Ovis aries: one gene and its partners. The protein of the gene in region 2 interacts with the protein of the main gene of each other region in a pairwise test. Links are inferred from orthologs where the notes say so. Each region holds a gene or a part of one and is shown on either strand. Other genes may lie near its edges.

Region 1 (4,282 bases), on a different chromosome or scaffold from region 2:
CTGTTGTACCCATAGTCATGTCGGTGTGGAGTCTCACTTTGAGAAAGTCGAAGGGGTTCTGCTGCTCCATCCGTCCCTGGATGCTCACCAACATCTCCTTGGCTAGGAGACACTGTTCCTGAATGTGGCTCAGATTCAGCTCCATCTCCTCATTCAAGGCTTTCCCCTCTTCTCGGAGCTCACTTAAAAGGTCCTTTTCTTTGCTGTGCAGGAACTGATGCAGCTTTAGAAACTCCAGGGAGATGTGTTGCTGCAGATGTAGCTTGTTTTCCTGGAAACCTCCATGATCATCACCATGGTAATTACTGAGACTAGCATTTAGGGATGGGGGCCCACACCACCAGCACTCCCACAACTTGGGAAATACCATAACAGGAAAACGCATGCAAACACTGCATATCAACATCCAACTGTACTAAAAGGAGGCCTTTGGGAAACTTACTCTGTCTTTCCCAGCTAGTTTAATAGTTAGGGTTGGAATAGTCAAAAGTCATGTCTAGGTTCCTGTTGCAAAACTGAGGTGGTAACCAATGCCATCTTAAATAAGACTGTGGGGTTAATCGAACACTTTTAAATGAACAATAATACCCTTTTATCCACAAGTACAAACCAGTATCTACCAAGGGATGCTGTTAGACTGGGTCCAGAGGAGGCTGGAAGAACTGCCCTTTTTCAAGAAATCAGAACGGAGGAGGCACCATTCCTGCTGCCAGGACAATACAAAAGAAGCCAGAGATGGGTGGTGTCTGCAGCACTTGAAATCGGTAACCGTTACACTGGCAGCTCTTTCCCTAGGTGACTTCAGCTTCCTCATGGGCAAGCCATCTGGCATCCTGGCTTCTCAGTTCCTCATCATCATTTCTAGTGATTTTTACCTATATCTACTCATTCTTTTAGTCACATTGAGGGTTTTATCTTCCTCGGCAATTGTACCATCCCCAGAATTACTTTTTATGTTTGCTTACCCAGGTTCCACTGTTGCAGCAGTTATTGGATTTCATAGAATCCTCCTATTCATTGACCCTCCGTTTCTGTTCTTCAGCTTCTCTGTCTTCATGTCCCCTCTTATCCAGCTTATAGTCTGTGGTCAAGCACTGTAATTGTACTCTTTAAAATAGTCTTAACTCTCACTGTCCTCTAGGTCAGACATTTCCATTTTTCCTGTTACCTATTTCACCGCTATTTCTCAGTCTCATTTGTTAGTTGTGTCTCTAACCAAGCTTTGAATATTAAATTACTTGATACTCTGTCCTAGGCTCTTTCCCTTTCTCATTCTACACTCTCGTTCTCGGTAATAGCCTCTGCTCTCACAACTTTGAAGTGCAGTCTGTACGCTGACCTCTTATTTTCAGCCTAGACCAGCTTCTCAACTCCAGGTCCATACATCCGGTTGTCCATTTGATATCACCACTCGCCTCTCACATCTAATCGGTCACCACATGCAGGCAGTTTTTCTTTCCAAAGCATATGTTAAAGCCGTTTATTTCTTTCGGTCTCTACTGCCATTTTAGTCCAAGCCATCATCGTTCTCTGGGACCACCTCAGTAGTCTTCTTCTAACCGTTATCCTTCTTATTGCCTTTCTCCAGTCCACACTCCACACAGCCACCAGACTGATGCTTTCAAAATGAGATGAGACCGTCCTGTTTAAACCCTTTAATGACTTCTCAATTATGCACAGAATAAAATTCAAAATTCATGACATTATCTACAAGGGCCTACATGATTGGGCCTTATCTGCCTTTTTGGTCTCAACTCGCCTACCAAGATCCATCTTAATTGGCCTTCTTTCTGTTTAACATAGTAACTAGCTTCCTGTCTCAAGAACTTTTCTATAACGCTCTTTCCTCTTCATAGAACATTCTACAGGCCATTTCCTTCATATTCCCCTCACCCAGTTCACTTGGCTAAAGATAATACTTATCCTTTCAATTCTCAATTTTTAATAAGAATTTTTAATTTCAATTTTTAATAAGTGACCTCTTCAGTCTAGATTAGGCTCTCCATTTATATACTCTAATATACTGTATATAATCATTTATAGTAATTATCACAGTGATGTTTCATTATTGGTGGGATTATTTAATTAACATCTGTCTCCCACCATAGTTGGAATACAATATCTAGCATAATGCTGCACCACTCAAATATTTGTTGAATGAATGAGTGTTGACTGTAATAGCTGAACTAAGAACTCTTACAACAGGAACACGATTCTCTTGAGACATCTTTATTTCCATCTAGCCTTCTTCTTTCCCTCATTATATTTGTTTCTTCTTCCAGATGCCAAATGCCAGAGAAGACTCTCCTCTGTAGGATAATTAATGAAGAAACAGAACTCCCAAATTATTCCCCCAGCCTAGGAACTGATTTGCCAAGTCCCTAACCATTAATGTTGCCCTAGAGCTCCTGTGAAGTTGAAAGTATAAGCAGTAGTTTTATTTAGTTTGGGAGAAGCTAAGAAGGATTAGATCACAGAGAAAAGCCAGCAGTCTAAGAGACCTTGGTTCAGAGAGGCCTGGTTTTAAGCCCAAAGGAAAGAAAGTTATTTCTTTGAACATCACAATCTTTAGTGGATTTTTTAAAAATGAATTCCTTATTTTACGATAGATAATAGGAAAGATCAGACAGATCACAGCCCCAGAGCAATCACCTAGGGACTGCACCATGAAAAGGATCAGCTTATCTAGGGGAAAGGTCAGTCTGCTCTCTCTGTTGATCAGCTATTGGGAACCTACTCCACTGCCGTATTTCTTTCCACTCTACAGTGTCTGTTTTCTACTTCTAAGGCCAGATGCCATTTAGCATGTTGTTGTATATGTAAAGGTACCTTTCCACCCACATAGCTGAAGTTACAAGGAGGGTACAAGTCCAGTTCTGTCTCATGACCCCTCTACCCTGCTCCTCACCTTGTGAGCAGCGATAGCATCCTTCTGCATATTCTTCAGGGACAGAAGCTCCTTCCGGGCTGCCTCCAGTTGACCCTGATGGATGGTAAGCTCCTCCTGGGGATACCATAAAGAATTAACCCATGCTAATTGGGAGATGAAGGGCCATGAAGAACATCTACCCCAAAGCCCCAGGGTGTCAGGGGGAAAGAAAGCAAGCTCCCACTACAAAAGTTTCCTTTTCCCTTATATGATAATTCCTGTCTCTTCCAAAAATTGTGAAGAAAATTACAAACTGCAGAAAAACTAAGTTTTATCTTCTTCTTAGCTAACTACAGGGCTTTGAGGAAGATAACAGAACTCTGTACACTTTCTACTATATTTACACTGTTCTTGCTATCTCTACTTTTACTTACATTGTTCTCAGAACACTCGTTTCTTCCTTCTACCCATCCAAATTCAAATAATTGCCCCCCCTTCAAGCTTTCTTTCACCATGCCTCCCCTGACTATTTCAGTTTTCTCTAATCTCTGAAACAAATGTGACAAAAATTTAGCTCTCAACAGTAGACTGTCTTATATCCCTTCTGTTGTTTTGTTCACTTTAAACTTGACTGCATTTCAAGACTTCAGTAACAAAAGCATTATTTTACATGTCCATGTTCTGTACAGTGCCTAGTAGAATGCTGTCAAGGCAAGGTTCAGGTAAATGTTTGATTGATTGAGGAAGTAGGCCAGAGCTCCTTTACTGCTTCCCTATAATTGACAACTACAGAGAAAGAACTTTGCAAGATACGTTGTATTTTTTGAGCACTCTGAGCTTTCTAATAATCACTTGAATGAGGGGTGGTATTGAAAGAAGAAGTCCAACAGTTTTTCCCAGCCTTCCTAAGGAATTGCTCAAGACTGTTCAAGACCCAGGGCTCACCCACCGTGAAGAAACGGACAGCATCAGAGATCTGCAGGAATTCTTTAGACTGCCCTACAGACAATCGAGCATCTTTGCATTGAAAGCATATTAGTCTCCCATCTGGCTTACTGAACAGTTTCAGGTTCTCTCCATGCTCTGGGCACCGTGGATGGCCCTTGAGCAGGGGTAGCTTCTTAATCTTCTCTACCAGCTTCTCCAGTACAAGATTAAAAGTACAGTTGCTGTATTGACATAACATCTTACACTCAGGACAGAATGTTTCATTTGCTTGCTGCTTCCAAAACTTTTGGATACAAGATTGGCAGAAGTTGTGGCCACAGCTTAGCATTAGTGGATCACAAAACCAGTCATTACACAATGGGCAGTGTAATTCCGTAGTAATATCTTGTATCTGCACTTTGGAGGATATTTGGGTGATCACATCATTCACTTCAGCGTAGCTGTCTGAGTCAGTTTTGGAGGAGA
Region 2 (3,616 bases):
CTGGATTTGAGTCCTTTGTTGGCTATACCTATTCCAAACATCTCCTATTCCAAAGCATCTGTTTTTCTTTATTCCTTTATTGGCATCCTTTGAGCAGATTTCTTTTTTTTTAATTTTATTTACTTGGCTGCAGTGGGTCTTAATTGCAGCATGTGAGACTCTCTCGGTTGCAGCATGCAGGATCTTTTTTAAAATATAGATGTATTTGGCTGTGCTGGGTCTTCATTGCAGCATATGAGATCCTTTAGTTGTGGCATGCATCCTAGTTCCCTGACCTGGGTTTGAACCCATGCTCCCTACATTGGGAGCACCGAGTCTCAGCCACTGGACCACTAGGAAGTCCCATTTTGAACAGAATTCTTAATTTTAATGAAGTTCTACATATGAATCTTTCCTTTTGCAGTTAGTAATTTTGTGTTCAGAAATCTTTGTCTATCCTAGGTGATGAAGCTCTTCTTCTATTTATTATTTCTTAGAAGCTTTATTATTTTATCTTTCATATTTAGGCCTGTGATTCATCTGGAGTTGATTTTTATGTGTGGGTGAATTAGGGGTTCACTTTGATGGTTCATTTTCCCTCATATGTATATACAGTCAATCAGCAACATTAATAAAAAAAATCACCCTTTGTCCATTACATTTCAGTGGCACCCTTGTTAAATCCGGTCACCATGTGTCTGTGGTGTCTGCGGTGTCTGTTTCTGGACTGCATGGTTTTGACTGAACCTGCTGCAGTAGATAAAAGTTTATGGTCTGAAGTGGTTTAAGTCATATGAAACCTGAGGAGTACGGGGAATGAGAAAGTCAGTCTTTAAATGGAGGGTGTGGATGTATGTGCGTGTGTATGTGCATATCCATATGTGTACTGTACAAGTTTGTGTCTGTGTGACTGTATTATATCTACGTATCTAAATATTTTCTTAGCATCTGTTTGGCCATCAGGGTTTTCTTCTGAGTGCATGTGCATAAATGTATGTGAGCATGCATGCGCATCTCTGAATATCTTAGCAACCTGTGTGTATGCTTGAGTTTGTATTTGATCTTGTGTATTTGATACAGAAGTATCCATCTGTGTGTGTCTCTGTGTAGCAATAGGGTTTTCTTCTTTGCCTGATTTAGTACCCAGGGAAAGAGCCCAATTTATTCTGCTGAGAAAATAGGTAAGTAAGAATGTCTCTTGTAAAAAAAAAAAAAAAAAGAATGTCTCTTGTATACATTTATATTGTAGGAATTAGGATGTGGAATCACAGATACTTAGACACTAGACCTCTCATGTGAAACATGGCAAATCTGAGATCAGAGAGAAAGTGATCTAAGTTCACACAGTGAGTTAGTGCCAAAGTGAATTCAGAATCTAATCTCTGAATTTACAAGCTAGATCTTTCTCTGGTCCCAGACTGCCTTCTGATGTGGTCCAGGCAAAGAAGGCCATGAGAAGAAGGCATGAAGTAGCATCCTTTGCAGAATGTCTAATATTTGAGCTAGAGACACCAGTAAGAACAGAAAACAGAAAAGCAGCTCTTGCTTCTTAGGCAGCTGGACTGAGACAACACATGCGTGTACATCAGGAATGACAAGATATCTGCAGTTGGAGGCTGAGGGATACTTCAGTCTGCTAAGAAAACACTCAGGGTGTCCTGAGTTCACACAGTCCTTTTGTATGAGGTCTGGAGGCTGCCCCTGACTGGCTGGGTCACTTTACACTGTTCGCTGCAATAAAGGATGATATGACCTTTGGGTTTTGTGTAGGGGGGGAACCTTGAGAACATCAGGTGAGGACTCAACCTGAAACTGAAATGCCTGGGAAAACAGACTGTCAGGCTAAGGAAGGTGCATAAAAAAATTTGCAATGTGCAGAAGTACTTGAGAAAGGTCTGACCTCAATAGGGAAGGGAAGGGGAGAAGGGGAGGACAGAGAGAAGGTTGTCAGGCAGGCAGTAGCTAGATCTTAAACTGCCTGGATACAATGTAGGCATTCGGATTCTCCCTTAGGAAAGTTACAGAAGCAAGGGAATAATAGGATGAGGCACGTGCGTGCGCATGTGTGAGTGTGTGTGTGTGTGTGTGTGTGTGAAACCATTCTGGGTGCAGTGTGGAGAAGGGAATGGAAGAGTAAAAGCAGAGCAACAAGACTCGTTAGAGTCAGTTCCTGTCCACAGGTAAGGTGTGACAGTGGCTTGATGAGACCACAGGGTGGTGGTAATAAAAGTAGAGAAAATACCTGGACTTCAAAGATCTGTACCATTTGGTGATTGGTGGGATGTGCTTGCTTAGTCAACGGGATGGATGGGGAGGACAGGAAGACAGCAGGTTTGTACAGAATAGGAATTCCATACTAGACGTGTTGAACCTGAAATGGGAGTTATCTCATGACCACAGCTCTTTTCCACCCTATCCTTGCTTTCATAGGAATGCTTCAAAATGGCAAGAAATTCGATTCATCCAGAGACAGAAACAAGCCTTTCAAGTTCAGAATTGGCAAACAGGAAGTCATCAAGGGTTTTGAAGAGGGCGCAGCCCAGGTAAGAAGAGGATCCTTGTTAAGGGGAGTTTGAGCAGCTAGGGGTCTGGGCTCTGCACTCTGCCCTCCACCCTCCCCCATCACAGACCATCACTGCTTTGACTCCACTGCCAGGGCTTGGCAATGCCACCTAGTTTCAGTCCTGGCTTTGTGTCCCCACCCCTTTTGTTGCCTGTCACTTGGGGCTGTCTTCCCAAGCACATCCCTCCAGTTCTGAGCAAGCCTGTGAGCTACTAGCTGTTCAGGACTGAAACAGCAGAAGAGGTGGGGTAGGCTACTGTTTAGGGTTTTTTTTAACTTAAAAAAAAAAAGCACTAGTTTCAGACTTGCAAAAATATTATATGAGTAGAGTTCTCATATACTCTTTACCCAGCTTCCCTAAATGTTGTTTTACATAACCATAGTACCGTGAACAAAATCAGGACATTAACATTGATATAATGCTATTAGCCAATCTGTTCAAATTTTTGAGTCAGTTATTCAAAATTTAAAAATTGATTATTCAGATTTCACCAGTTGTCCCACTAATGCCAGACAAATCCTTGAGGACTGCTGTGATGAGCCCTGGTTCAGGCTCTTCTTCCTTCCTCTATGAAGTCACGTGATGTTCCTTGCTGTGCCTTCTAATCTCTTAATCTAATGAATTGGTCCTAGCACCTACATGAGTATATACATGCATATATGGTCTTTACACATCCTCTTTAGGCTTCTTTGAAAGAAGGAAAAATTATGAACAGATTGAAGTGTTGAGGTGTACTCTAATTGAATAACCAGCATTGTTTGCTAAATCAATGAATTTGAGCCTACAGTGTTGAAGTTACTGTCCGTAGTTACGTCTCTGCTAGTCTCACATGCAATCTGCCTTGGTTACAACTCTTAGCATCACTTCAGTGTGCCACATATAAAATTCATCTCAGATCTTCAGGGTTACCATGAGGATGGTTTGGGAAAATGACAGTTACCTTACTCTTTTCTTTTAAATCAAGCTGGGTCCTCTTTCTCCTCTCCCCATCTGCCCCCATCCCTGCTAGATGAGCTTGGGGCAGAGGGCGAAGCTGACCTGCACTCCTGATGTGGCATATGGAGCCACAGGCC
Region 3 (4,325 bases), on a different chromosome or scaffold from region 2:
TGGAGTGGGTTGCCATTTCCTTCTCCAAGGCATAAAAGTGAAAAGTGAAAGTGAAGTCACTCAGTGGTGTCCAACTCTTAGCGACCCCATGGGCTACAGTCTACCAGGCTCCTCCATCCATGGGATTGTCCAGGCAAGAATACTGGAGTGGGGTGCCATTGCCTTCTCCAAGAATATACTACATGTCTGGTCAAATTCACCATTATGGCCTTTTAATGACTAACAGTTTGACTTTTTTTTTTTTTTTAAAGCAGGACAGTTATCCATAATCTGTAACCATTTTATGTAGGTGTGCAGGTTGTTAATACTCCCTGGGCTACCAAAAAAACAGAGAAAAAAATGCTCCCCCTCCCAAAAAAAGGTAAGAACTACATTCTCTCCATTCCTAACTCCATTAACATTTCTGAACCAACAACATTCTCGGATTAAGTGAATAAAACAGAAAGGAGCAAGGGCAGACAGACGAGTGATAAAGGGTTTGAGAGTTTCTGTATTAAAACTAAAATTTAGAGGGAAAGGCATGTTTTCCTTTTAGATGTTCATGCCACACCACACCAAAAAAATTCCCCTGCTCCATCAAGCTACCTCCTTCAAGGTCATTTATCATCAGCACAACAGCCTACGGATGTTTTATTAAAAGAAAAATCCCAGCCTAGGACTGCCAGATCTCTACCCACGACCCACTTATCAAAGGTGTCGCTGGGGCTGACAGGCAGCTGTCCAGGGGCACAGACTTAACATTACTTTATATGTACAGAAGCCCATCAGCAAGCACATTACCTCGGTCCCCATTAAGTATTCTGATAACACCACCTCCATGAGCTCCGCTAACATTTAAGCCTGCAGGAAGCCCTTGAGTGCACAGAGCCTTCCAAAATTTTCTAGCTAATTTTAACCCTATAGAGTATGAAAAAAAACTGAATTTAGAGATTACACAGCAACTAAATATTTTACCCACCCAAACAAAAGCTTTCACAGTACTGAGAAACATCTTTTCATGTGGCTTTTTATTAGTTATTAGAAAACGATATCGTTTTTCACTAAAAAATAAATAAATAAATAAAGGTAAACTGTCTTACTAGCAGGCTTAAAATACTCCTGATGAGCAAGGTTTTCCTGAACTGGTTCTTTAGAGCTGGGTGGTGGAGCAGTAGTACCACCAACAGCATATGTAATGGTGCATGACTCGCAGCTATTAGATCAAATCACTGGCCAATCTGAAGTGTACCCTGGATTTTATTCTTTCTAAAGCCCCTACCCCCAAGCAAAAGTGAGTGCAAAAAAAAAAAAAAAATAGAAGAGCTAAATGGAAAAACAGGCCACTTAGAATGCTCTTGAACAAATGTACTGTTTTCACTCGTTCGGGACCCAAATACATCATCTAGGCTCTTTTCGCACCTAAAAGTTGCTATCTGGTTAATATTTCAAAACCTAAGTCTCGCTCTAATTGTCTGTGACTGTGGGGTAATTGCAAGTGGGCACCGACAGCTTTTTCACTGTTGGGGAAAGAAGAGACACGAGAAGCTGCAGTCTTTGGCGGGGGGATGGGAGGTGGAGGGAATCCTGGAAGGGAATATCCTTCGGAGAGGAGGAGGCAAGTGCAGAGAAAGGAAAGACCGAGAGGATGCTGTAAACGCTAACACGGCGATTCTTAACCAGAAGTTACGACATTTTCTTTTGCCAAGGGGCTCTCCAGTCCCAGCTTCGAGGGGACCAAAGCCTCAGCCAGGGAAGTATCTGCAGCGTTCGAACAAATCGGCGACAGGAAGGAGCAGTGCCAAGGGGTACTTAAGGAGAAAAAACTGTATTAGTGCGAAGCCAACCTTTGCCTGCTGCCACTCAGTGTGGAAATTCCAGGCAGCCTCCCTGCCCTTACACACACGCGCACACACACACACACTTTGCTGCACTCAGCGTTCAATAAGCCAACATTTAGAGAACGACGCGTTCGCGAGGTCCCTCGCCGCCCCCGCGTGCGCGTGCACAGACACTCACTTCCCATCCCTTCCACGTTCTGCGAGCAGTCTCAGCACCACCAACGGCCCGAACCCAGGCACCGCGAGGTCCACGGAGACGACGCTCTCTCCCCTGAGCAGCACCTCGACTTGGGGGCAGTCTCGGGGCACGTCCTGCACCCGCCTCCCCGACCCCGGCAACGCCAACTGCGCGAATCCCCGGGATGCGTGACTGCGCGCGGGTCTAACGCGAAAGCCGAGAAACCGCGCCGCGGCGGGATTCCGGGCAACAACCGCGTCCCCGCTGGTCCCCGCTCCGCACCGCGCACTCCGTCTGCACTGTGCCCCGGCTGCCCCGAAGGTCCCAGCCTCGCCGACCGGTCAGGCCGGATCGGCAGCCCCCGAGTCTCCAGACTCCCGCTGCTCCGGGGCTCCCGATCTCAGCGCCCTGGGACCAAGCCGGTGCGCCGCCGGCCGCTCTTCGCGCTCCGGCCACGCTCGGTCTCCGGGCTTTACACGCGGGCGCACAGACACGCACCCTCCCTTCCCTCGCCCCGGCACGCACACTTGCGCCCCCCGGGAGTTGCCCGCCTCCTCCCGCACCGCCAGAGGCAGCCCCCTACGCGCCCGCGCGTCCCACTGCCGGGAGCCGGCCAGTGGATGCCCCGGCTCCCTCTAGCCGCCCCCCCTCCGGGGAACCCGAGACGCGCGGCGCTTACAGTTCGCAGGAACTGGATCTCATCTTCGCCCTCGCCCCCATCGGCCATGGCTCTGCTCCTTCTCGCAGGGGCCGGCCCCCGAACCCCGCGGAGCCCGGCGTCGCTGGCGGCGGCGGTCCCTCGCTCTGTCTGCTGCTGCTGCTGTTTCTGCTGCCGGGAGCCGGGGGCGGGAGGGGTCCGAGGCTGCTGGGTGCCGAGCGCCAGGCGGTCCCCGCCTGCAGAGCGGAGGAGGAGGCCGGCGGGCGGGGGCGGCGGAGGCGGGAGCCTCCCTGCGCCGCACTGTGCGGGAGGAGGGCGACCCGGCCCGGAGGACGCGGGCAAGCGGCCCCGCAGCCCCGCCGCGCTGGCTTCGCACGCCCCGCCTGCCGCAGGCGGACTGCTCGGCCCCGGCTCCTCCGAGCGAGTGCGCTGAGCTGGCGGAGCCCGGGTGAGTGCCGCGGTGGGGGCGGGGAGTGGGGGCGGACGGGCGGGGAGGAGCTCGCCGGCTCCCCTCTGCTGCAGGTAATCCGCAGCCCGCTCCTCGGGGCCACCAAATCCGAGGCCCAGCGCCGCTTACTGGCCGCTCCGGGTATCGGAGCCGGAGCGCAGCCGATGAGCGCGCAACCTTCCAGCGGCGCCCTTCTTGTTTCCCTGGGCTCCTGCACCTGCGGCTTCTGACCTTAAACCAGCTCTCACGATTGCTTCTCCTGCGGGAGCGGAAGGGACTCCCACAGTACTTTCCGCGGCACTTCAGATCTCAAGCAAGAATCATCTTTCACCCGGATGCCCGGAGTGGATCACCTCCAAGTAAAGGTGATTTTAAACTTAGATTAGTTCTGTTCCCCGATCATCATGAGAATTCATTAGGATCTAGTGTCGGTGCACCATGCTCCTCACAGATCAGACACACAAAATGCATGGTACATAGAACTGTAACAAACTCATTCAACAAATACATGGTGAATCCCTGTGCCAGATACTGGAGAATAAACAGACCGGAGTTTACACTCTATTAGAAGTGCTTAACTATGGATTGCGATAAGCTATGAGATATCAGTATGAATCATTGAGGCCGTCTAAATTCGGAATATGGTACTCTCTGTCCTCACTATACAGCCATTTACTTCTGAAGAAAGTCGAGCGTTTCACCACAAGTATCAATATGTAGTTCCTGCAATCCTCCGTGCAATTACCCACCAAATTGCCGTTTAACAAAATTGCTGTAAGAAAACGCAGGGTCTGAGAGAATTTGGACAGGAAAGCACTTATCTCTTGTTCCTAGTGCACGATTCCTTCATTTACGGTACTTTAAGTATATACAAACCAAAGACTGCAAATGTCAATCCTCCAAAGATTCAGACGCTGTCAGGTGGTTTGTCATCAGTTTACCTACACTGCGCGTTTTGTAGCATATAACTGGTTACTAAGATCTGCATAGTAGATTCTATGCACCTTATATGCTATTTTCAGCTTTCATGAACTTTATACTTACTGAGCCAGTTTTGCATATTTCCAGTAGAATGAATAACATAAAGAATATGCTTATAAATACTGTCCCTCTTGGTGAGATTAGCAATGCTCTGCTCTATTTTATGATACTAATCATATTACCGAAGTTCTTGACATATTTTTGTATATGGACCCATAATGACTAGCCAATTCTTTCTTTTTT

Evidence for each region.
Region 1: the proteins of FKBP1B (region 2) and E3 ubiquitin-protein ligase TRIM69 interact in binary tests that used the Homo sapiens proteins (3 or more experiments, as listed by UniProt). The two-hybrid records come from large-scale screens. The link is inferred for Ovis aries from reciprocal best matches to the Homo sapiens genes FKBP1B and TRIM69.
Region 3: the proteins of FKBP1B (region 2) and RYR2 interact in binary tests that used the Homo sapiens proteins (3 or more experiments, as listed by UniProt). The link is inferred for Ovis aries from reciprocal best matches to the Homo sapiens genes FKBP1B and RYR2.

Annotation. Positions count from the first base shown.
Region 1 is NC_056060.1:101,156,048-101,160,329, reverse strand, and holds the start of E3 ubiquitin-protein ligase TRIM69, read right to left. Parts: upstream 2,882-4,282; 5' UTR 407-2,881; coding exon 38-406; intron 1-37. Other genes in the region: E3 ubiquitin-protein ligase TRIM69-like, read right to left, coding at 2,882-3,033, 3,815-4,282.
Region 2 is NC_056056.1:31,733,455-31,737,070, forward strand, and holds part of FKBP1B (peptidyl-prolyl cis-trans isomerase FKBP1B), read left to right. Parts: intron 1-2,409; coding exon 2,410-2,522; intron 2,523-3,507; coding exon of another isoform or gene 3,508-3,552; coding exon 3,553-3,616. UniProt on the Homo sapiens protein: Has the potential to contribute to the immunosuppressive and toxic effects of FK506 and rapamycin. PPIases accelerate the folding of proteins. It catalyzes the cis-trans isomerization of proline imidic peptide bonds in oligopeptides.
Region 3 is NC_056078.1:9,034,994-9,039,318, reverse strand, and holds the start of RYR2 (ryanodine receptor 2), read right to left. Parts: upstream 2,807-4,325; 5' UTR 2,723-2,806; coding exon 2,675-2,722; intron 1-2,674. UniProt on the Homo sapiens protein: Cytosolic calcium-activated calcium channel that mediates the release of Ca(2+) from the sarcoplasmic reticulum into the cytosol and thereby plays a key role in triggering cardiac muscle contraction. Aberrant channel activation can lead to cardiac arrhythmia.